Schizosaccharomyces pombe: one gene and its partners. Changing the gene in region 1 together with any one later gene gives a genetic interaction. Each region holds a gene or a part of one and is shown in the gene's direction. Other genes may lie near its edges.

Region 1 (7,806 bases):
TTCTTTCACGCAAGAGAAGTATTTCTTGAATTCTTAATGATATTGCGATATGTAGCTTAATGCAATTGATATATAATTCATTGTAAATTTGGAAGAATATCAGATAAACGAGAAAGGTGAAACCATTCCCTATACAAGCTGTTATACCCCTACAAGTACTTTGCAACAATCCTCTCCCGTCAACAACAAATAAACAAAAAAAAAAAAAAAAGGAAGCTTAAATGTTGAAATACGATTACTCTACTTTTACAATTACATCACGTTCTTTGTGCTAGCTTGTTGTTCATAAACATAACATATATTAAAATATATATATACGAATTCGTCTTTTCCTCTCCACGCTTCTTATTCGTCCTTTTCGTTACTTTCTCTCATTTCAACATCTCCTTCCTCCTCAACTTCGCCATCAGAACCTTCTTGTGTTATGTGCGAAATCACAATCACCCCTTCATTCACCAAACGGTCGTACAACGCATGCAAAAATAATTCAGCTCCACTAGCACTTTGCACTTGCTCTAAACTCAAGTTGCAAATTTCACGCAACGACTCTGACTCGGGTTTTGCAACTGCCTCCATTAAACTCGACAAGTGCTTAAAAAAATCTCGATTTTCGCTCAACTCTGCACGACCGCTGATGCGCAAAAGGTCGGAAGGAGAATGTGGGAAAATCTTGGGATACACTCTAGGATGTGTAATCACACGATGAGATTCTCTGTCAATGGAGAAAGGCTCGACAAACGTCGTTTCATTCAAAATCAAGGGCTGAAGTTGCTCTAATAATTCCAACGTACGTGAATGAGTATAATCGATGTTTTCATCCAAAGGGGAGGCCGTTGCCTCCTCGTGATCTTCGCCATTCTCACCAGCTGTAGCATGTGGTCCATTCAAATTCGACTCACTTGACGCACGATACATGTTTGCTGACTCGTTAACGTTAGGAAATCTTGGCAGGATAGCCGGTGCTTCGGCTGTAGGTGATAAAACTTCCCAGTTAAAGTCTTGCAGAGCATCTTGGCTTGCTGCACCAAACAGTTGCAGCAGTTGGCTGGTTGATGAATCATCCGTACCTCTACTGCTAGAATTATTATGTGAGTTGATAGTCCGAGTCGTATTCACAGGGTCAGCAATTAATTGATTGATTAAGGAAGCTGTTTCCTTGTCTTTTTCATCACTATACTCCTGCATCCAGTAAAAATGAATCTGCGAAGAGGATTTAAATTTTAGTGCATATACGCGTCCCGTGGTACATTCATCAATTTTGATAAACTCTGCTTCTTCTGGAAATATGATGTAGTCCTTCATTATATGTTAGTAAACATAAACCAAATTAAAAAAAAAAAAACGCAAAAGTAAATTTATATATATAAATAGGTATACTTTGCAATTGATTTAAATTGTCTTCATACATCTTCTACTTCTCTAGAAACCCTGGCCCTTTCTTTCCAATAGAAATGCAATAATTCATCAGAAGCCATTTGCATATAGATAACTCTAAACAAATGTCAGTATTAAAAATCAGATCTTTTAACTTTATAAACAGAAAACAATTCCACAAAACCCAACAGTGTGGATTTTCACGCATCCTTCCAACGTAAACATGCAAAGAAGCTTCATAAACAATTCTTTGGGTAGAATTTCGTTTTCCCAGTAGAAAGGACTACTATCTATATTATTATTATAGTACATACCCTTTTCGGTGATCAGCTTGCAGAATATTCGTTCCTGGCTTTCTTTGAAGTTTTCCAGCTTTTACGGAGACTAATCCATACTTTCCTCTCTCGCTAGTCTCGTTTCTTACTCTTCCAAAAACTGATTCCATTTGTAATTTATTTTTTGTCAACTCAAAAGCTCACGATTATTGACCTTGTGAATTGTTGTGGTATAGTTGAGTATGCAGTGTACACAGTGCAAGTGAGCAAAGTAATCCACACAAACGTATCATGTCTATAGACATGATTTCTCAAAATCATTTAATTTTCTAATTGTCGCCACTATAATCATCTTTTATCATGTAATAGACAATCTTTTTAGGTGGTTAACTGCTCTAATATTTGAAGCTGATTTATCAAGCCGCATTTGATGGTTTCGCCTAAAAAGATGTTTTAATAGCAAATTAATACTACACTTTAAAAGGAAAAGGAACGTTCCACTATGCAGTGGAATTCATCTCTTAAAGGGCCTTGAAAAGACATAAGCCAATTTTTGTATCATCGTTAATGGCATCAATAGTAAAACAGAATAAACCAGTTTTCACCAATTATACATAGAAGAAAATCAAGATACAATAAATGTCTATAATCCTTTCAGGTTTTGAAGAGCAAAACATAATCGAGAAAAAGTATGCGTCCTACACAATGGTATTTCACTAGAAATAATAGAAAAATACATTCATACACTATTTGAAATTCACACCATATAACTCATAATATACAGACTTAAGTTTTTTTTATTAGAGACAGTCCAGTAGTCGAATGGTCAAATGAACTCTACAAATGGTTAATATAATAACAACTCAGGTATTCAATATGAGAGAAAATTCAAAATAAACCTTATTTTAAGAAATATTATTAGTAAAATTACTAAATCACCATCTGCCCTCTTCAATTAGCGTCAAATCACAGTTAATAGATTCGACCTTCAAATACAACTGGTAGTTCCAAATTGCAAAAACGATCATCTCAAAATGTTAAACTAGCATAACGTTTAATTAAAGCAATGTAATCCTTTATTTCAACATTCTTTTCATATTTCTCTTCATTCGTCCAAAAAAATAGAATATCACTTAAAAGGAAGTAAGTCAATAACAAATTCATAATACCTTATTTATGATAACAAATTTGCTTTAATTGATCCTAATATCTAGTGTCGCAAAGTTTTTTAGTTTACATTTTCATAGTCAATTACTGGTAGCTTGATGATCAATGGAGAATATGACAAATTGTTAAAAAATTATACAAATTTCCAATTATTTAAATCTTTGCTATGCTATTTATCTCTTCATTGTTGTATGTTTATGAGTAGTTACTCTACTCCCTTACACTGTCTTTCTACACCCACCACGAGTCATGTCCTCTAGTCAGCAAAGTGGCAGAGCCAATGAGTTGAGGACTCCTGGAAGAGCTAACAGCTCTTCAAGAGAAGCAGTGGATTCTTCTCCGTTATTTTTTCCTGCTTCGTCTCCTGGTTCTACACGCCTTACAACACCGAGGACTACAGCGCGTACACCTCTCGCTTCCTCTCCTTTACTGTTTGAATCTAGTTCACCAGGTCCAAACATTCCTCAGAGTTCACGTTCTCATCTTTTATCTCAGCGTAATGACTTGTTCCTTGACAGTAGTTCGCAGAGAACACCGCGCTCGACAAGACGTGGAGACATCCATTCTAGCGTGCAAATGTCTACCCCATCTCGTCGAAGAGAAGTTGACCCTCAACGTCCCGGGGTAAGCACTCCTAGTAGCTTGTTGTTTTCTGGGTCAGATGCACTCACGTTTAGTCAGGCGCACCCAAGCAGTGAAGTAGCTGATGACACTGTCCGTGTCATTTGGGGAACAAATGTATCTATTCAAGAAAGTATCGCTTCCTTTCGTGGATTTCTACGTGGGTTTAAGAAAAAGTATCGACCTGAATACAGAAATGAACTTATGCCACCTCCTGATGCCGAACAACTAGTGTATATTGAAGCGCTACGAAACATGCGTATTATGGGTTTGGAAATATTAAATCTTGATGTTCAGGATTTAAAGCATTATCCCCCAACCAAGAAGCTATATCACCAGCTTTACTCATACCCTCAAGAAATCATTCCTATCATGGATCAAACCATTAAAGACGTTATGCTAGACTTGTTAGGAACTAATCCTCCCGAAGATGTTCTTAATGACATTGAGCTTAAAATTTACAAAATTCGTCCTTTTAATCTTGAAAAATGCATTAATATGCGTGATCTTAATCCTGGTGACATTGACAAATTGATCTCTATTAAAGGTCTGGTACTTAGGTGTACACCTGTAATACCCGACATGAAGCAAGCATTTTTTCGATGTTCAGTTTGTGGTCATTGTGTTACCGTGGAAATCGATAGAGGGCGAATTGCTGAGCCCATAAAATGCCCTAGAGAAGTCTGTGGTGCTACAAATGCAATGCAGCTAATTCATAATCGTTCTGAATTCGCCGATAAGCAAGTTATTAAACTCCAAGAGACACCTGACGTGGTACCGGATGGCCAAACCCCACACTCTGTAAGTCTGTGCGTATATGATGAACTGGTTGACTCTGCTAGAGCAGGAGATCGTATAGAAGTCACTGGGATTTTTCGCTGTGTACCAGTTCGTTTGAACCCTCGCATGCGTACTGTAAAATCATTATTTAAAACTTATGTCGACGTTGTTCACATAAAAAAGCAGGACAAACGTCGTTTGGGTACGGATCCTTCTACGTTGGAAAGCGATATTGCTGAAGATGCTGCTTTACAAATTGATGAAGTACGGAAAATATCAGACGAAGAAGTGGAAAAAATTCAACAAGTTTCAAAGCGGGACGATATATACGATATTCTTTCCCGGTCTCTGGCACCTAGCATTTACGAAATGGATGATGTTAAAAAGGGGCTTTTGCTACAGCTATTTGGTGGAACGAACAAGTCTTTTCATAAAGGCGCAAGTCCGAGATATCGTGGAGACATAAATATCTTGATGTGTGGTGATCCATCTACGTCTAAGTCTCAAATTTTGAAGTATGTCCATAAGATAGCACCCAGAGGTGTTTACACTAGTGGCAAGGGTTCATCTGCTGTTGGTTTAACTGCCTATATTACTCGTGACCAAGACACGAAGCAACTAGTCTTGGAAAGTGGTGCTTTGGTACTGTCAGATGGGGGCATTTGCTGCATTGATGAGTTTGACAAAATGTCCGATGCTACACGTTCTATTCTTCATGAAGTTATGGAGCAGCAAACCGTTACAGTTGCCAAGGCTGGCATTATTACTACTTTGAACGCTAGGACTTCTATTTTAGCTAGTGCAAATCCAATTGGAAGCAAATACAATCCAGACTTGCCTGTCACCAAAAATATTGATCTTCCGCCTACTCTCTTATCTAGATTTGATTTGGTGTATTTAATATTAGACCGCGTGGATGAAACGCTGGATAGGAAGCTCGCAAATCATATTGTTTCTATGTACATGGAAGATACTCCTGAACATGCTACAGATATGGAGGTCTTTAGTGTGGAATTTTTGACAAGCTATATCACATATGCTAGAAATAATATTAATCCTGTCATTAGTGAAGAGGCAGCAAAGGAACTAGTGAATGCTTATGTTGGTATGCGAAAGCTTGGGGAGGATGTGCGAGCATCTGAGAAAAGAATTACTGCTACAACAAGACAACTGGAATCAATGATTCGTCTATCTGAGGCCCATGCGAAAATGCATCTTCGCAACGTTGTTGAGGTAGGAGATGTTCTTGAAGCTGCTCGCTTGATTAAGACCGCTATTAAGGATTATGCAACTGATCCTGCAACAGGAAAGATTTCTCTTGACCTAATTTATGTTAATGAAAGAGAGACTTTGGTACCTGAAGATATGGTCAAAGAACTGGCGAATTTAATTTCAAATTTAACTGTGGGTGGAAAAACTATGTTGGTCAGTCAATTGTTAACTCGGTTTCGTGAGCAGAGTTCTACTCGCTTAGATGCTTCTGATTTCGAAGCTTGTCTGGGTGCTTTGGAAAGGCGAGGACGTATTAAGGTTATTACCAGTGCTGGACATCGCATTGTACGTTCAATTGCACAGACTGATTAATTTTTTAGCGAATAAGCTGGTATTATTCATGAGCCATAAACCATAGGTCGTTGTTGAAAATCAAAGACTACAGAGCATAATACGAATGTCTTTCTTGTTATATATACACACGTTCTTTTTGTTATAAAAATATTTTACATATTTATCGAGGGATCCTTAACATTCATTTTTCTTTTTTTTTTCGGCTTTTGAGTATGAACTGAACAATGAGTAAACATTATGAATATAAATTCGTTAATACCAAAGTTGAAATAATAATAATAATAATAATTAACATAAACTTTCAAAAAACTAACAGATATCTAAACAATCGTAACCAATAATTCGCCATGATTCGTAGAGGCAGTGTGTGCCTAATTTTAAGTATTTTCAACAGTAGTCAGATGTCATTAAAAGAAAAATGGATAGCAATTTAACCATCAATGTCTGCAGAAAATTCTCTGCAATAGGAATTATCTGTAATATCAAATTTATCGTCACTTGTATCCTTAACATCACTCAAGCTTGGTTTTCTAGAAAAGGGCTTTTGACGCTCACGCACATTCCAATTGAATTTATCTTCTAATACCTTGGTCCATTGGTATCCTGGATTTTGAATGGTTGTGAAAGGGTAATGAGACGTAACAATTGATAAATAGTCGCCTCTATGCATCTCCACAGATTCATGACGGTCAACGGAAAAGAATGCACTACTTCGAGAATCCAAAGGGATCTCAACGTTCAAAACATTGTAATCTGGTAAAATAATAGGACGGAAAGAAAGCGTATGAGGACAAACTGGTGTTACTAAAATCGCATTTAGTGCAGGATGTACCAGAGAACCACCAGCATTCGCTGAGATGTTGGTGGATCCTGTAGGAGTAGCTACAACAAGTCCATCAGCTTGAACCACAGTCATAAGTTCGGAATTGTTGTAAACATTCAAGTTACTAATAAATGGATGTTCTCCTCTACTAATGAGTATTTCATCAAGAGAGTATGTTGTGGAAGCCAAAGAATACTGCTTAGTTTTTTCATCGTATTTATGAAAAGAGCACTGAAGCCGCGAACAAAACCTGAGTGACACGTTTTGAGTTAAGACCTGATACAAATGCTGCTGATAGTTAGATAAACTAAAATGAGTCAAAAAACCAGGGACATCATCATCGGAAAAGGAAAGAACAGGTGGCCCAATTTTTTGAAATAACCACGATGTGTACAATAATGTAGAGTTGTCGCCAATTGTTATAGCTAAGTCAAAAATACTTGGTTTAATCAAACAAATATACGGATTCCAATACTTGATCCGGTCAATGTCGGTATTTGCTTCTTTAGCGATGTTATGAGCAGAGAAGCGCTTGGAACGAGCTAGTCTCATATCCACATATACCTTGGTTTCCGGTGTTCCGATTGTGAGTATATATTTTGTGATTTCTGCCGTCTTGTAAACTAACGAATGCTTTCGAGGTTTCGTTACAACTAGTATATTCTTTGGTTCCAAGGCAAAGGAGCCATTCGCAACCTCATTATACATAAGCCTGGAAGCAACCACATTCTCTATATGCATCGCAGAGGAATTAGAAGTCCTAGATTCTTGATGAAGCTCACCAAAGGGAGGATGAGCGGGTGAAGGGAGGTTAGAAGTTGCCAATTCTCCAACCGGTGTATTTAGGCCCGACAAATCAAACTGCATTGAGGAATTCGACAAGCTGTCAGCACTGCATTGTCGAAAATGAAGATTTTTTTTCTTCAGCTTGTTTATTTCCTCAACTTTGGTAGCCATTCTGATTTTCTAAAACGAAATACCAAGCTTATCCTACGATGTTCGCTGCAGCTACTAAACAGTCCAATTTGGATTAGTCAAGTCCCTCCAATTTCCAGGTTCAACAATATTGTATCTACAAGTATAATCGAGTGGAAAGAGATTAAATATTGCTACATATGAATGTGTAGGTATCTTGGTAAATTCTAAGAGCTGAGTTTACGTAACATGAGCAGCATGTCCTCACCACCAATTTCATAGTTT
Region 2 (7,353 bases), on another chromosome or scaffold:
ACGCGTCTAAATCTTCATCGTTATCCTCTTGCTTAACTTCTGGGGTTTCACTAACAGAATTATGAAGTCCTTGAGCCATTTTTCTTTCCTCTAGGTAAATTCCATGAGTAGTATTTTCTATACATGTTAATTGAAAATAATAGTTGCTTTGGTACCTTCAGACTCCTTTTCTAAGATCAGTTGCTGTCCTTTTGGAATGATGCATTCTTCTATACTTAAGGAAGTCATATTTTTCCAATGAAATTGGATGTTATTTTTGATATCTCTAGAATTACTAGTATTGTCATTAGGTTTTTCCTTGACATTAGTAAACTTGGCTAAAATTTACAAAATACCTGTTGACTAAGGGAGGCTTCCTGGTAAGACGATCCTAGAAAAAGGGTCAATTATAGATCGTGTAAAATTACAAATAATACCTTCTTTAATTGATCGGTTAAATTCATTGGCAAGCGCAGCAAGATAAGGTGATTGAAGCAATGCATTAAACAATGCAGAAGTTGTAATAGCTTTAGGGTTTCCAAAAACAGCACCCTCACAACCCTGAAAATTAAATGACTCTACTTGTATCCAAGGAATAATGCCTGATTGACTAGGAATTAAGTGAATTAAAAAATTGCCCAATGTCACGATACCTCCTCTTAAAGATGTTATCCTTTTTTCAGTAAAACTAAAAATCACAATCAATATTGTGCTGATAAATTGAAACATACTTATTTAAGTCCGAAATGCTCTGAGACGAAAACTCTGCTTCAATGTAAAACTCTGTATCGGATAGCTTGCATCGAATTGGATGTTCGTATCGTATATACTGAAGTTTAAATATAGTCAGAATTGGTTCGAAAGATAGAAGATAAAGTATAATACCTCAAATATTTGTAAAGGCTGACATTTAAATACACGTATCGGAAGGACATCTGCGTTTTTGATCAAATTCAATAGTCCATTCTCAAGCCAAGGATGTTTTAAGCAATTTGACATTGCACTGTTTAACGCAGCTAACTTTTATATAAAAATCAACTTTTTTTAATAAGTAACAGTGCTGACTGAAGTCTGTTGATATTTAATCGTCTACTTTTTTTCTTGAAAGCAAGGTCAGCAGAACACTGCATTCATCATTTCCTCAAAACAAAATAATTGAAATATTATCATCAACTCCAAGGACTTGGTTCTTCTAGTTTAGTTACTGTCAAAAGCACTTTCAATCTAGATTTTGGATAACAACTTTTCAGTATTCCAAATCTTTAGAAGTTACTACTCATGTATTTAGTAATGGTTCATCCAAAAATTTATAAGAGAAGAATCAAATAATAGCAGGTTGCTGTATCTCCCATTAACAAAATTGACTTACTTCAAAGGAATTGCTGTAACCTTCTACCCCAGACGACAAAACTTGAAAAATTAGGCAAGAATTTTCTTTTGCTTAGAACTGTTTTATAAAATTTTGGTGATAAGTTAATAAAGGGTGGAATGAATTGGCTTAAGAATGTACTGAGTTATTTAGTTACTGCACTTATTACTACAAGAATTTTAACCACGCATTTTAAATGTGCGGATATCAAACATACTAAAGATTGAAGCAATTACCGGACATTTATTTATAAAAGATCAACAATACAACCAATCTGCTTTTCAATTTTATTCTTTATACTACTTCAATTTGCTGCTGCTAAGTCTAAATTGGTGTACAGAAATAAGTAAAAAAAATTTCATAATTGAAAGAATAAATTAGCTTTTTTCAGTGTTGTTAAAGATCTCAATAGCTTGGTACCGTGCTGAACAGTGTTTACATCTATAACTCAACTCACATTTAGCCTACTACCACCATTTTGTAAATAAACTTATTTGTGCAATTTTTTGGTGCGATCGGTCCCATGAAGCTAAAACATTTTTAAAAGCATAACAGCTGATGTTGCGATGACAAAAGAAATTGCTGTGAAGGAGGCTTCAAATATGCTTCTACAAGAACCTTCAACCCCATCATCACAAGCTGTAGGACTGAGCAGCTCACCTAGTAGTTCGATTCGTAAGAAGAAGGTAAATTTTAGTAGTGAACTAGAAAATTCCCCCGGTGGAAATCGACCATCTTTCGGTTTACCCAAACGAGGTATCTTAAAAACTTCAACACCTCTATCTAGTATCAAACAACCAAATTTTCAATCCTTTGAAGGAAATGAATCTGAAAAAGAGACTTCCTTGCAAGAACTACAATCCTCGTTTTGTTCCGGAATAGAAAATCTTCAACATGTTGAAAAATCTGCTCGAATCGAAACATACTCAAAACTGTCTTCCTTTTTGAAAATCTATACACCAAGTCTTCCCGAGGATCCAATATTCCCCCTTTTAAATCAACTTTGCAATTTTTTATTATCGGATAGATGCTCTAACAATTCAGAGGGTAGTCCCGATTTTCAATTGAATACTCAAGCAAACAAACTTCTCAGCATACTTCTTTGGCATCCAACTATTTCTTCTCACATTCAACCAGAAACTGCCACAGTCTTCATTGAGCAGTCGCTGAATTTTTTAGAAGGACCAAAGTTAACTAAAGCACTCGCGGCTCAGCATTTGCATCTTCTTTCTTGTCAAAAATGCCCTCTTTCCATTCACCCTTTATGTAATCGTATTTTAGACGTGTGTTTTAACATTTCATTCCCTTCCCTTGTTATAGGTCAGGAGCGATTAGCTGTCTTAACAAAAATTTTAAGCCAATTTCCACTAGAATTTTCGCGTCGTGTAGTTGATTGGGCTCCTTATCTGCTAGCTTGTTTAGTTGATGCCTCAAGGCCTATCCGTGAGAAAGCGTTATTACTTGCTTTGGACCTGAGCAAACATTTGTATCACGACAAGTTAGTCGCACGGACTATCCTCGCTAATTTTAGAAGTGATATTAAGGGAACTGCATTTGTTCTTATCATGACAGAGCAATTTGAGAAGCTTGTCATTGAAGAAGACGACGGTGTCTATGTGGCTCATGCCTGGGCTGCCATCATATCAGTTTTGGGAGGTGCAAGAATTTCCTCATGGGAATACTTTAACACATGGCTTAAAATTATTCAGCTTTGTTTTAACAGCATGAATCCTTTAACTAAGTGTGCAGCCCAAACATCTTGGATCCGTTTAATTCATGAGTTTTCTCTTTCTGAAACCCTCACACAAGCTACCAAGCGGTTAACTCTTTTGTGTCAGCCTATTTCCATGGTTCTAGGTTCAAGGAATTTGCCAACAGTAAAGAATGCAGCAATGACTACTTTGATTGCTTTAATATATGCATGTTTGAGGCCCGGAATCTCTGATGCCATGCTCTCTTTACTGTGGGATTCAGTTATTGTCAACATACTTGAAAAGTGTGCCTTGAAAAACGAGGTTACTATTTTTGAGTCTTCTAACATACTTTTGGCTCTCTTTAACACGCTGTCTAATGGAGTTTGGAAAGATGACCGCTTGGTTTGCCGTGAATCGGTAGAAGCAAAAGAACTTCCAAAGCTCAATCCTGTTTGGGTTCGTGCTAATTGTAGTCGGACAATTGAACCGGTCAAGACTTTACTTTTATTAGCCAAACCAGATCATACTGTTAAAACCACTACGCCTGCTCGTAAACAGCATATACGAGGTCTTAGTTATGAACAAAGTTCGTCTGTTTGGAGTACTTATATAAAGTGTTTGGCCAGTGCTGGACAGAAGGAAATTAAAAGGTCTGTAGAGACTGGCCGAGCTATATGCTGCATATGCTCATCGCTTCACAAATTTTTATATTCGAAATCTATTCGTAAAGATGAACTGTATGTGGAAAGAGTCTCGAGGTTTGCATTAATGGTTAAGTCTGCCATTGAAGCTTTTGGTATTAATACATTCGTCGAAGCATCATATCTGGTTTCCGATAATCAGCTTGTTTTAATAGATCAGACAAAAGCAATCGATAGTTATGATCATGTCCCAATTAGCCCCTTAATTTACTTGCTCCACTCTCTCGCTCTTTTAACAAACGGCACATTATTTTCGACTGTACATGCCGCTTACAGCAGTATTCTGTCATCCATTGAAGAATATCATTTAAGATTTGGTTTAAAACTTATGTTACTTTGGGATTGTGTATCTCCTTTGAGTGACGATGGAACTTTAGTGCTTGCGAGAGTTCTCGTTTCCCATGAAGTATCTAGGTTGACCTCGGAGGCTCTGCTTTCAGAACTTAAAAGTCGGAATGGAAATAATTCAGTAGAAGAAGGATTTTCAGAAGAGGAGCGATCCATATTACTTAAACTATTAAGTTGGAATGTGAAGTTTTGCAGTATTAGTGATGCTGGTAGTGTAAACAATCTTCTTCAACAATACTTTACCGCTATTTATAAATTTGAAGGATGTGGTAGCGTTTTTCCTTTTGTCGTTGATCCTTTTACTACAATCCTCGATGATGTATTAAGTTTTGAAGCAAATAAAGTTTATTCATTTGCCATATCTTTGATGAAAGTTTCTACTTTTGAAAGTTGCACAAAGGAGCTACCACCTGTAACATTACCTGAAAATATCAGACAACACCTGGATAGTTACAACCACATGGTCGAATTGTATAATACACTGTTACAAAGGTTATCAAGTTCCGATCAAGTAGATCTACAGTGTCGCTATCTTCATGAGCTTTCTGAATTTATAAAGAAAATACCCAAAGAGTTCATTTTTCATACTATTTGTAAGTTGTCTAAAGGTTTGATACCTTGCTTCCTTATGAACGCTTTTCCACAATTAGAGAAATCTACCACATTACAAAAATCATGTACCAACTTTTGTATATTAATTTTGCAGCTGCTACTAAATTCCACTGCTACAGCTTCTAATATTTTAGAATCTCTTTCTCCGCTGTTGACATCAGGTCTTAAAAGTATTTCAAAAGAGGTGGTCCTTGCTGCTATCAAGTTTTGGAATCAAGTTTTTGGTAAATTTGAATCGGAAGAATACCCTATTGAACTACAAAAAACAATATCGTATCTGAGCAAAACTTATATTATTCTTTTACCGTTTCAGTCACTATGTCCTGGTGGTAAGCAAGCCAACCATCAATCGAGCGAAAAGATGTCGGATATATTAAAAGGAGTTGATGAGTTGCGATCTGTCTCTAAGAATGGTCCTTATGCTTCTTCACAAGATAAAGGAGAAAAGACTACCGAATTCTCTGGTCCTGGTAAACCTAATAACGACAATTACATACAGATTGCTTCTGTGCAAGAATTAGACGACAGCTCAAAAGGGAAAGCAGGAAAAATGCCAGCGTCTAAGAAAAATAAAAGACAAAAAGGTGATGTTAAAAAAATTGATGAAACAAAAAATGAAGCTACTGATATGGAAGAGTCTTTGACAACACCGTCTGGCAAGGTCAATAAGGAAGTAATTGTAGACGATACTTCTTTAAGAGATGAAGCAATTGTACCTGATAAAGCTATAGATGTGGCAGACAACTCTAACGCTCTTTTAAAGGAAAATATTTCAAGCCAAAGCAATAGGAAAGCTGATAATAATGGAACGCCGAGTGTCAATAACTCCTTCACTACAGCAAATAATGATGAATGTTCAAAAGAAAATTCTCAGATAGAACCAGAAGGGCAAACTGCCTCTCGTGAAGGTGTTCTATCTACTCCTCGCAGTACTAGAAAGAAACGAAAACTTGGACGTAAGAGCCAATCTTCCAACGTGAATAAGGAAGTTGCAATTAGCGAAGTGTCCGCAACCTTGGAAAATGTGGAAGTCATAGAACGACATGGGATTTCAGAACAGGGACAGAATCTGGACGAATCTGCTTGTGTACTTACTAATGAAAGTAGTTTGAGCCAAACTGAAATACCAGAGGAAAAAACCGAGAATGAAACAACTGCAGTTAACGGATTTGAAAATTCCAAGAAACGACAATTTTCGAGCTTACTTTCAGGGTCCATTGATACAAACAATGAATCCAACAAAGTTTCATCTGTAGAGTTTGATAAATCTGGTCCTCAAGACATTATACAATCAATGACGGAAGCCACTTTTGAAATCGAAAAGAATATACAAGATTTAAAATCGGAGGAAGTTCAGAAGCTTAGTGATTTGTTGATGAGATTACAGAGAGCTATTTTATCTAGAATTGCTTGATTATTCAACTCATGGGTACAGGAATTACGGACCGGCATTGGGGTCAATTTAGTCATAAATCAATCTTATTAATGGGGTTCATACTGGCATTTAATATATAACATATGTATATAGATAAGAACTTTCTAGTTTCAAGAGGATAGAGGTATGCGTATATGTGATGTGTCCAAATATCTTATATCATCAAACCAATGATGTTGTAACGTCTCTTCAATAGTAATGCGATCATGCACATTTCTATCAAGCATTCGACAAATTAAATCGACATTATCTTTCGATAGTTCAAAAGGAATTCTAAGTTTGGCGTCCAAAATCTCTTCGATCTAATAATTAGTTAGCATACCATTATAATAATTCTCTTACGTTATAATAAGGGTTTTCCCGATAAACTATCGTGTATAATAAAATACCCAAAGCCCAAATATCCTGTTCTTTACCGAGATATTTTTCACCTCTTAGTAGCTCCGGAGCAGCAAAACCAACTGTACCCCGAAATGTATCAAAAGGCCCGTTTTTCGTAAGGCTCGAACTACCGAAATCAATGAGTCTTGCACATCCGTTTCCTTCTAGAATTACGTTTTCATCTTTGATGTCTCGGTGGATTATGTCAAAAGAATGCAGATGGGCAACAGCTAATGCGATTTGGAAAAATATAGCCTTGCTCTCTTTCTCAGAAATCGATGGTTTTAATTCGATGTAATCAAACAAATCTATTCCAGGCTTTTGGGGCTCAGTTAACAAATAGTAGTTTTCATTGTCTTCAAAAAAAGTTATCATTTTTACGATGTTAGGGTGGGAATGAGCTTTCAAAAAATGAAGTATACTGATCTCCATAGGTACGGTTCCAAGATCTTTATCTCGCATCCATGAATCCAAAAGTATCCTACTTTTACTAATTGATTTCAAAATAACTTCATGAACCTTGTTAGATTTATAAGTTGCAAGTTTTACTTGACCATAAGCGCCTATTCCTAATTCCTTGATAGTTGTATAGCTTGCGATGTTGTGTGGTACAACCTCCCATTCCGAATCAACGTAATCTTCGTCTGCCGAAAGGTCTTCTTCTTCTTCACTCTCGTCAGAAATAACGACTTCTTCTAAGATCACAGAGGAGCGCATTGATCTTACGAAATCAGACGCACGATTATCCACTGAATCAAATATAAGCCATACTCCAAAAGCGGGCTCATTAGACTTAACAGAATGAGGTGAAACAGAAATAATCTGGCAATCAAT
Region 3 (7,939 bases), on another chromosome or scaffold:
AAAGAGTTTGAAAACAAGTTTTCAAATGCAAACACAGCAAAAGATGACGAACCGGCTCGTCAAACTAACAAAGGTACTACTAGAATTTCTAGAAGTTCTGATTTTACCGCTGTTAGCGAGATGAGCAAGGATACCTTAACACTTGGCAGAAACTCTTTGCAATCAATTTTGATGCTGGATAATTTGTTAACCAATAAAGTTGTGCAAAGCGATAACAATGTTAAAGGTGGAACTTTACCGGCCCTCGTGCATTACCTTGTCCAGAACGTTCACTTGAACAAAGATTTTCGCCATTCGTTTCTTTTGACTTATAAAACGTTCACTACCCCCCAGGAATTGTTTACGCTTCTTGTCATTCTGTTTCACGAGTTACCGCCACCAGGATTAGATGCTACAGCATATAGTTCTTGGGAAAAGGGAGATAATTTTGTTACCAAGAAGAACGTCTGCACCGTTATGAATTTGTGGGTTCAAAAATACTTTTTTGAAGATTTAAAAGCCCGTAACACTCTTTATTTGATTTCGGAGATGCGTACCTTTTTACGTGACCATGTTGTTCCATCTTTTCATATTGGCAGTGTAATTTTATCGGAAATTGACAATCTCTGGACTGAAGAGCCTCCAGATTCGTTAACCCAACGCCTATTATCTTCTCCCATGGCTACTTTTATTTCTTTAAACGTATATGCTTATACTCCTGAAGAATTTGCTTCCCAGATGACATTATTGGAGTTTGATTATCTAAAGCAGATTCCTTCGAGGGAATGGATATTTAGAAGCTGGGTTAGTCGCGATTCTCGCAGCGCTGTCCGAAATTATATAAACTTTTCGAATTGTTTCACCTATTGGATAATCAATTGTATTTTAGAGAAAAAGAATACCAAAGCTCGTACAGCAGTAATATCCTTTTTTATACAAACTGCCTACAAGTGCTTGTCCCTCCAAAACTTTTCCACTCTAATGTCTATTGTTTCTGCCTTAAATTCTGCTCCTATTTATCGTTTACATGCAGCGTACAAACTTGTTAAAGCTGAAGACATAATATGTCTGTCTGGTTTACGTGAAATCGTGGAAACAAAGAAAAATTTCAGTACTTATCGTGCTTTACTTCGCAAGGCTGAACTTCCTTGCGTACCGTTTTTGGGTGTCATATTAAGTGACTTGACTTTTATCGATGAAGGTAACCCCGATGTTCTTGATTCATCTCCACATCTGTTAAGTTTTAATAAGCGGCATCGACTTGCCGATGTCGTCGCAGATGTGTGCCGATTCCAATCCTCCTCTTACGAAATGCAATCTAATACTGATCTTCAAAGCTATATTTTACATCGGTGTCGCTTTGTTAACCAAGATCTGTCCTATTTATTTGATAAATCACTCTCACTTGAACCTCGTTCTTCTTAAATCTTATTTTTTACCCCTCTCTTAAAATCCCGTTTTGGTTTTAGCCCGTATAGGGTTCGCTCTTTTAGTTGTCTTTCAGACACAGCTTTTAATCTATCTCTTTACGTATTTACTGTTAATGTTATCGTATTGGTTTAACTGACATGACCTTGATGTTGTATTATTCATTAGGCGTTGGTAAACAAAGTCTCAGAATAAATTATCGGAATTGTCGGTTTGTAGGCTGATGACTCTGCTCAGTTTTCTTAATTCCTATTGCTTGGAATCTAGTTCTTTTTGTTTTTGGACAATTGCGTCCTTTTTATTACTAATATCTTCCATTAATAATAAATTAGTCTTTTGTTATGCCCAAGAATACATTAAGTAGTGGTTTATGTAGCTTGATGGAGATTGGTATAAACTTGTATATTTGATTTCTTTCTCCATCGTAATTTGACAGCTAACCTATTTAATGTGGTTTTACCTTTTCAGCAGTTGACACTCATACCAAAATTTATTGGTGTACGCTTTGAACTTACCTACAAGATATTCGCCTAAGTACCTATTTGTTGTTACCTACAAAACCCTTTTAGTTGCTCGTCTTCCTACCAAAAACCAAGAGCATGTAAGCTTGGTGTCTTCCTTATTTACCATTTTCTGTTCTAATTTTCATAATAAATAAAAAATTAATTACTAGAATGACAGATAGGTCTTCAAATGAGGGCGTCGTGTTAAATAAAGAAAACTATCCATTTCCCCGAAGAAATGGTTCAATTCATGGCGAAATTACAGATGTCAAACGGCGACGTTTAAGCGAAAGAAATGGATATGGTGATAAAAAGGGCTCATCCTCAAAAGAAAAAACTTCATCTTTTGAGGATGAGCTGGCTGAATACGCTTCACAATTGGACCAAGATGAAATAAAATGTAAGGTTTTTTGGATAGCTAACCATTTATTAGTATACTGACTCCTTGATAGCTTCAAAAGATCAGCAGTGGCAACGACCAGCTTTACCTGCAATAAATCCTGAGAAGGATGATATTTATTTTCAGCAAATCGATAGTGAGGAGTTCACAGAAGGATCTGTACCTTCAATTCGTTTGTTTGGTGTTACTGACAATGGAAACAGCATCCTTGTTCATGTTGTGGGATTCCTTCCGTACTTTTATGTTAAAGCCCCGGTTGGATTTCGACCTGAGATGCTAGAACGTTTCACACAAGATTTAGATGCTACTTGTAATGGGGGTGTGATCGATCATTGCATTATAGAGATGAAGGAAAATTTATATGGATTTCAGGGAAATGAAAAATCTCCATTCATTAAAATCTTTACTACTAACCCTCGTATATTATCTCGAGCACGAAATGTATTTGAAAGAGGAGAATTCAACTTCGAAGAGCTTTTCCCTGTTGGTGTCGGTGTCACTACTTTTGAGAGCAATACGCAATATCTTCTTAGATTCATGATTGACTGTGATGTTGTTGGTATGAATTGGATTCATCTTCCTGCTTCAAAATATCAATTTCGTTACCAGAATCGAGTTTCTAATTGTCAAATTGAAGCTTGGATTAATTACAAAGACTTGATCAGTCTTCCAGCTGAAGGCCAGTGGTCTAAAATGGCCCCACTGAGGATCATGAGCTTTGATATTGAATGCGCAGGTCGCAAAGGCGTTTTTCCTGATCCCTCTATTGACCCTGTAATTCAAATTGCAAGTATAGTAACGCAGTATGGAGACTCCACTCCTTTTGTTCGTAATGTCTTTTGTGTTGATACATGCTCACAAATCGTTGGAACACAAGTATATGAATTTCAAAATCAGGCTGAAATGCTTTCAAGTTGGTCAAAATTTGTTCGTGATGTTGACCCAGATGTTTTAATTGGGTACAACATCTGCAACTTTGATATCCCTTACCTCTTGGATCGAGCAAAAAGCTTACGCATTCACAATTTCCCATTACTTGGCCGTATTCATAATTTTTTTTCTGTCGCAAAGGAAACCACGTTTTCAAGTAAAGCATATGGTACTCGTGAAAGCAAAACCACTAGTATTCCTGGGCGTTTGCAGCTTGATATGTTACAAGTAATGCAGCGTGATTTTAAGCTTCGATCTTACTCTTTAAATGCAGTCTGCTCTCAGTTTCTAGGCGAGCAAAAAGAAGATGTACACTATTCTATCATCACTGACTTGCAAAATGGCACTGCCGATTCTAGAAGACGTTTAGCTATTTATTGTCTGAAAGATGCATATTTACCCCAACGCTTAATGGACAAATTAATGTGTTTTGTTAACTATACTGAAATGGCAAGAGTAACAGGTGTACCGTTTAATTTTCTTCTTGCTAGAGGCCAACAGATTAAAGTTATTTCTCAATTGTTTCGCAAAGCTCTTCAACATGACCTAGTTGTTCCAAATATACGTGTAAATGGAACAGATGAGCAATATGAAGGTGCTACAGTCATTGAACCGATTAAAGGATACTATGATACCCCTATTGCAACACTGGATTTTAGTTCACTTTATCCTTCGATTATGCAAGCCCATAATTTATGCTATACGACATTACTTGACTCAAATACTGCAGAATTATTAAAACTTAAGCAAGATGTTGACTACTCAGTGACTCCGAACGGAGATTATTTCGTTAAACCACATGTTCGTAAAGGACTACTCCCTATTATCTTAGCTGATTTACTTAATGCACGTAAGAAAGCAAAAGCAGATCTAAAAAAGGAAACGGACCCATTCAAAAAGGCTGTTTTGGATGGTAGACAGCTAGCTTTAAAAGTAAGTGCTAATTCAGTATATGGATTTACTGGTGCTACCAACGGACGTTTGCCGTGTTTAGCAATTTCTTCTTCTGTTACCTCTTATGGTCGACAAATGATTGAAAAAACCAAGGATGTTGTAGAAAAGAGATACAGAATTGAGAATGGATACTCTCACGATGCAGTTGTAATCTATGGTGACACTGATTCTGTTATGGTTAAGTTTGGCGTTAAAACGTTACCTGAAGCCATGAAATTAGGAGAGGAAGCAGCTAATTATGTTTCAGACCAGTTTCCGAATCCTATTAAACTGGAGTTTGAGAAAGTGTACTTTCCATATCTTTTAATTTCCAAAAAACGTTATGCAGGATTATTTTGGACTCGTACAGATACTTATGATAAAATGGACTCTAAAGGAATAGAAACTGTCAGAAGAGATAACTGTCCTCTAGTATCTTATGTGATTGACACAGCTTTGAGAAAAATGTTAATTGATCAGGATGTAGAGGGTGCACAGTTGTTTACAAAAAAAGTTATTTCCGATTTGTTACAAAACAAAATTGATATGTCACAACTTGTAATCACAAAGGCATTATCAAAAACTGATTATGCTGCCAAAATGGCACACGTTGAATTGGCTGAGCGAATGCGTAAACGAGATGCTGGCTCCGCCCCAGCCATAGGAGATCGCGTTGCATACGTTATTATTAAAGGTGCACAAGGTGATCAATTTTATATGAGGTCGGAGGACCCTATATATGTATTGGAAAATAACATTCCTATTGATGCAAAATATTATTTGGAAAATCAACTCTCCAAACCTTTGCTTAGAATTTTTGAGCCTATTCTTGGTGAAAAAGCTAGCTCTTTACTTCATGGTGACCATACTCGGACGATTTCCATGGCAGCCCCCAGTGTTGGAGGAATAATGAAATTCGCAGTAAAGGTTGAGACCTGTCTTGGATGCAAAGCTCCCATAAAAAAAGGTAAAACTGCTTTATGTGAGAATTGTCTAAATAGATCGGCGGAACTGTATCAACGTCAGGTTGCTCAAGTGAATGATTTAGAAGTTCGTTTTGCTCGCTTATGGACTCAATGTCAGCGATGCCAAGGAAGTATGCATCAAGACGTCATTTGTACCAGTAGAGACTGCCCCATATTTTATATGCGAATTGCAGAACACAAGAAACTTCAGCAATCTGTTGACTTACTGAAAAGATTTGATGAAATGTCCTGGTGAAAAAGATGGATGTTTTTAATTACTAAATGTGTATATCAAACGTAATGATGAAAAGTTATAATAAAAATTCTACTTTTCTTAAGTACTTTTGCAATGCGAAAACTAAACGAGTTTGCCAAAGCTATACCTTTATGTTTGCTTTTTTTTAATTCAGGACAATATGATAAGTAAATTGAATCATCATAATGGAAGGCATGTCGAATGAGAGGCGAAGACTCCCAGATAAACAAGAAAGGTAATTTTACTGACAAAGCACACTTGCCAGCAATAACCTGGAATAAAAGTAAACAGTGACGTCCAAATAAATGATCAAAAAATGCTTTTTTCAGAAGATTCATAAATTGCTGCACTGTTGGAGGAAATAGTTGCTCCATAAATGGGTATGTAATCTTTTTGTAAAGAAGGATGCTTGAATTTTGGTCTTTTAAGAAGCAATGAGAAGCAGCATTGTTTTTAGATTGATGAAATACTGCGATTTGGGTGCAGAAACCGTAAGTAGATGATGGGCGAAAATGTAACAAATCGTCACCATCTATTAGATCATTTAGCAAACCACAGCCCGTAAATTCAACAGTATACTCTGGGTATCTTTTACAAATTTTATAAGCCCATTTAGCAAACTCTTTTCGATCCCATTCAAAAACGTGTTCAGGATGTCTAAAATTGGTAGAAGTACGAGATGATATACTACTTGTCAAGGTTGATAGTTTCTCAAAGATTGTGTTAAATTCAAAATTCGGAGTTGACACTACGCAAACATTGGGCTTCAAGTTTCCAAAAACAAGTTTTTCAAAGGCTAAAATCTCTGCAACTTGACAATGCTCAATAAACTCTGAAGCTACAACCGCATCAACATGTTTATAATGAGTAAAATCTTTAATATTACCAAGCAATAATTCAATATGTAGCGGTCGCCAACGTAGTTGTAAAAAGTCTTCGGTTCTAACCTGTAAAGCCTCAGTAGCTCTTTCAATACTTTGTTCGTTAATATCAATACCGGCCAGAAATTCTATAGGCACTTGATCATTGCAAGGTACTAAATATGATAGAAAACGAGCATCTCCACATCCAATGTCTAACAAAGATCGCACAGGGAAGCCTCCTTGAAGTATTTTAAATAATTTCCTTCGACGCTGTACATGCAAAGGTGGGTAAAAGCTAGAGACACCCATTGTCTAAACTCAAAGTATTTTTGGTACACTTTCTTCACGTTAGTCAAATAACTACCTATTAACTGTGAATGTTCGTTTCAAAACCACTATTTAAGCCTTTTCAAATTCATTACGAAGCGAATTGTTATTAATTCTTTGCTAAGTCCATTGCAATATGATTTCGATGACTGCCGTTAAGACACCGAACCAAATTTAATTGAAAAGGGAATTGTTGACTAGTGCGAAGTGTCATTTTCAACGTTAAATAATAAAATTATCTTAGCTCCGAATCTATACTTTTCAATTTCCTCTTTAAAATTGTTATAATAGCATGATATTTAATTACAATAAAATATGTAGCATTATGCAAAACGAGAACAAAAAAAGCACATACAACCAGCGAAGAGTAGACGAAAATTATACGGCAAATTTCAAAAGAATGTACCTATATCCATTTTTTACAGCGCTCATCATAGATGACCATTTACTCAGAAGCTCCTCGCCGAGCAAGCATATCGGCTTGTTGATTACCGTAATCGGTACTGTGTCCTTTCACGTACTCTAGCGAAACATTTCTGTCACTCATCAAATCTGAAGCGCGGTTGATCAAATCCAAATTTTTTACAGGTTGTGAATTGCTAGTCTTAAAGTCATTTTTCTTCCATTTAGGCAGCCATGTGGTTAGTGACTTAATGGAATAATTGCTGTCAGAGCGGATGGTCAAATCGCCAGATGTATTTTCAAGGGCTAGGATTATGGCTTGCAATTCCGCACGATTGTTGGTTTGCTCTTCCCCAGCCAACGGTACTGAAATATTTCTTGGGTCATCATTTCCGAAAAAAACTCCACAGCCAGCAACAGCTCCTTTTTTCCCATTTCGCAAACTAGAACCGTCAGCATAGACGACCTGTCGATCCGAGCACGCAATTGATTTTTCATGAGTGTCATTCGAAAATATTTCAATATCTTTTTCGGTACTATAACTTCTAGAAATTTTCTTTCTATATTTATCGGAGTGTCTAGCAGAGTAATTTGAGGAACTAGAAGAATATGGAGAGTACCCATAACTTGTTGTACTGCGGCGATATGGGCCAGAAGACGAGGAGTAGCGACTTCCTTCGGTCCTGCAAAATTCCTGAGCAGCCTCATAGCTGTCAAATTTCTTGTAGCGATTACCTCCATAACCTTTCACCTGATCCGACGCCTCATCCCTAAAAATTAGTAAGAGTTTGTTAAACAACAAGGTGTATCCATCAAGGAAATGTTAATAAGAGATCATCTTGAAAAAACCGATTCAGATTGAATTGAAGCAAAGCATACGACCGTATCGAAACTTGCTTAACGTGAAACTTATATTTAACAACGAAACCATTTTCTTGAGATACGCAGTCTTA

The links. Genes that interact genetically often act in the same process or in processes that back each other up.
Region 2: of mcm4 (region 1) and rif1, a mutation in one rescues a mutant of the other (synthetic rescue), as found in Schizosaccharomyces pombe (one study listed by BioGRID).
Region 3: mutations in mcm4 (region 1) and cdc6 are lethal when combined (synthetic lethality), as found in Schizosaccharomyces pombe (one study listed by BioGRID).

What each region holds. Positions count from the first base shown.
Region 1 is NC_003421.2:897,337-905,142, forward strand, and holds mcm4 (MCM complex subunit Mcm4/Cdc21), read left to right. Parts: upstream 1-3,051; 5' UTR 3,052-3,065; coding exon 3,066-5,801; 3' UTR 5,802-6,089; downstream 6,090-7,806. Other genes in the region: 19S proteasome regulatory subunit rpn1302, read right to left, coding at 346-1,296, 1,407-1,491, 1,689-1,819; SPOM_SPCC24B10.02C (NAD/NADH kinase), read right to left, coding at 6,214-7,563. UniProt on the Schizosaccharomyces pombe protein: Acts as a component of the mcm2-7 complex (mcm complex) which is the putative replicative helicase essential for 'once per cell cycle' DNA replication initiation and elongation in eukaryotic cells.
Region 2 is NC_003424.3:2,764,456-2,771,808, forward strand, and holds rif1 (telomere length regulator Rif1), read left to right. Parts: upstream 1-1,817; 5' UTR 1,818-1,914; coding exon 1,915-6,117; 3' UTR 6,118-6,248; downstream 6,249-7,353. Other genes in the region: tpz1 (telomere-protecting protein), read right to left, coding at 1-117, 156-297, 336-370, 417-667, 711-808, 865-978; serine/threonine protein kinase Ppk6, read right to left, coding at 6,249-6,440, 6,481-7,353. UniProt on the Schizosaccharomyces pombe protein: Negatively regulates telomere length. Appears to play no role in transcriptional silencing of telomeric loci.
Region 3 is NC_003423.3:2,741,762-2,749,700, forward strand, and holds cdc6 (DNA polymerase delta catalytic subunit Cdc6), read left to right. Parts: upstream 1-2,000; 5' UTR 2,001-2,081; coding exon 2,082-2,310; intron 2,311-2,362; coding exon 2,363-5,394; 3' UTR 5,395-5,429; coding exon of another isoform or gene 5,430-6,566; 3' UTR 6,567-6,835; downstream 6,836-7,939. Other genes in the region: Ras guanine nucleotide exchange factor efc25, read left to right, coding at 1-1,404; hen1 (S-adenosylmethionine-dependent methyltransferase), read right to left, coding at 5,430-6,566; ribonuclease H Rnh1, read right to left, coding at 7,030-7,756. UniProt on the Schizosaccharomyces pombe protein: Catalytic component of DNA polymerase delta (DNA polymerase III) which participates in chromosomal DNA replication.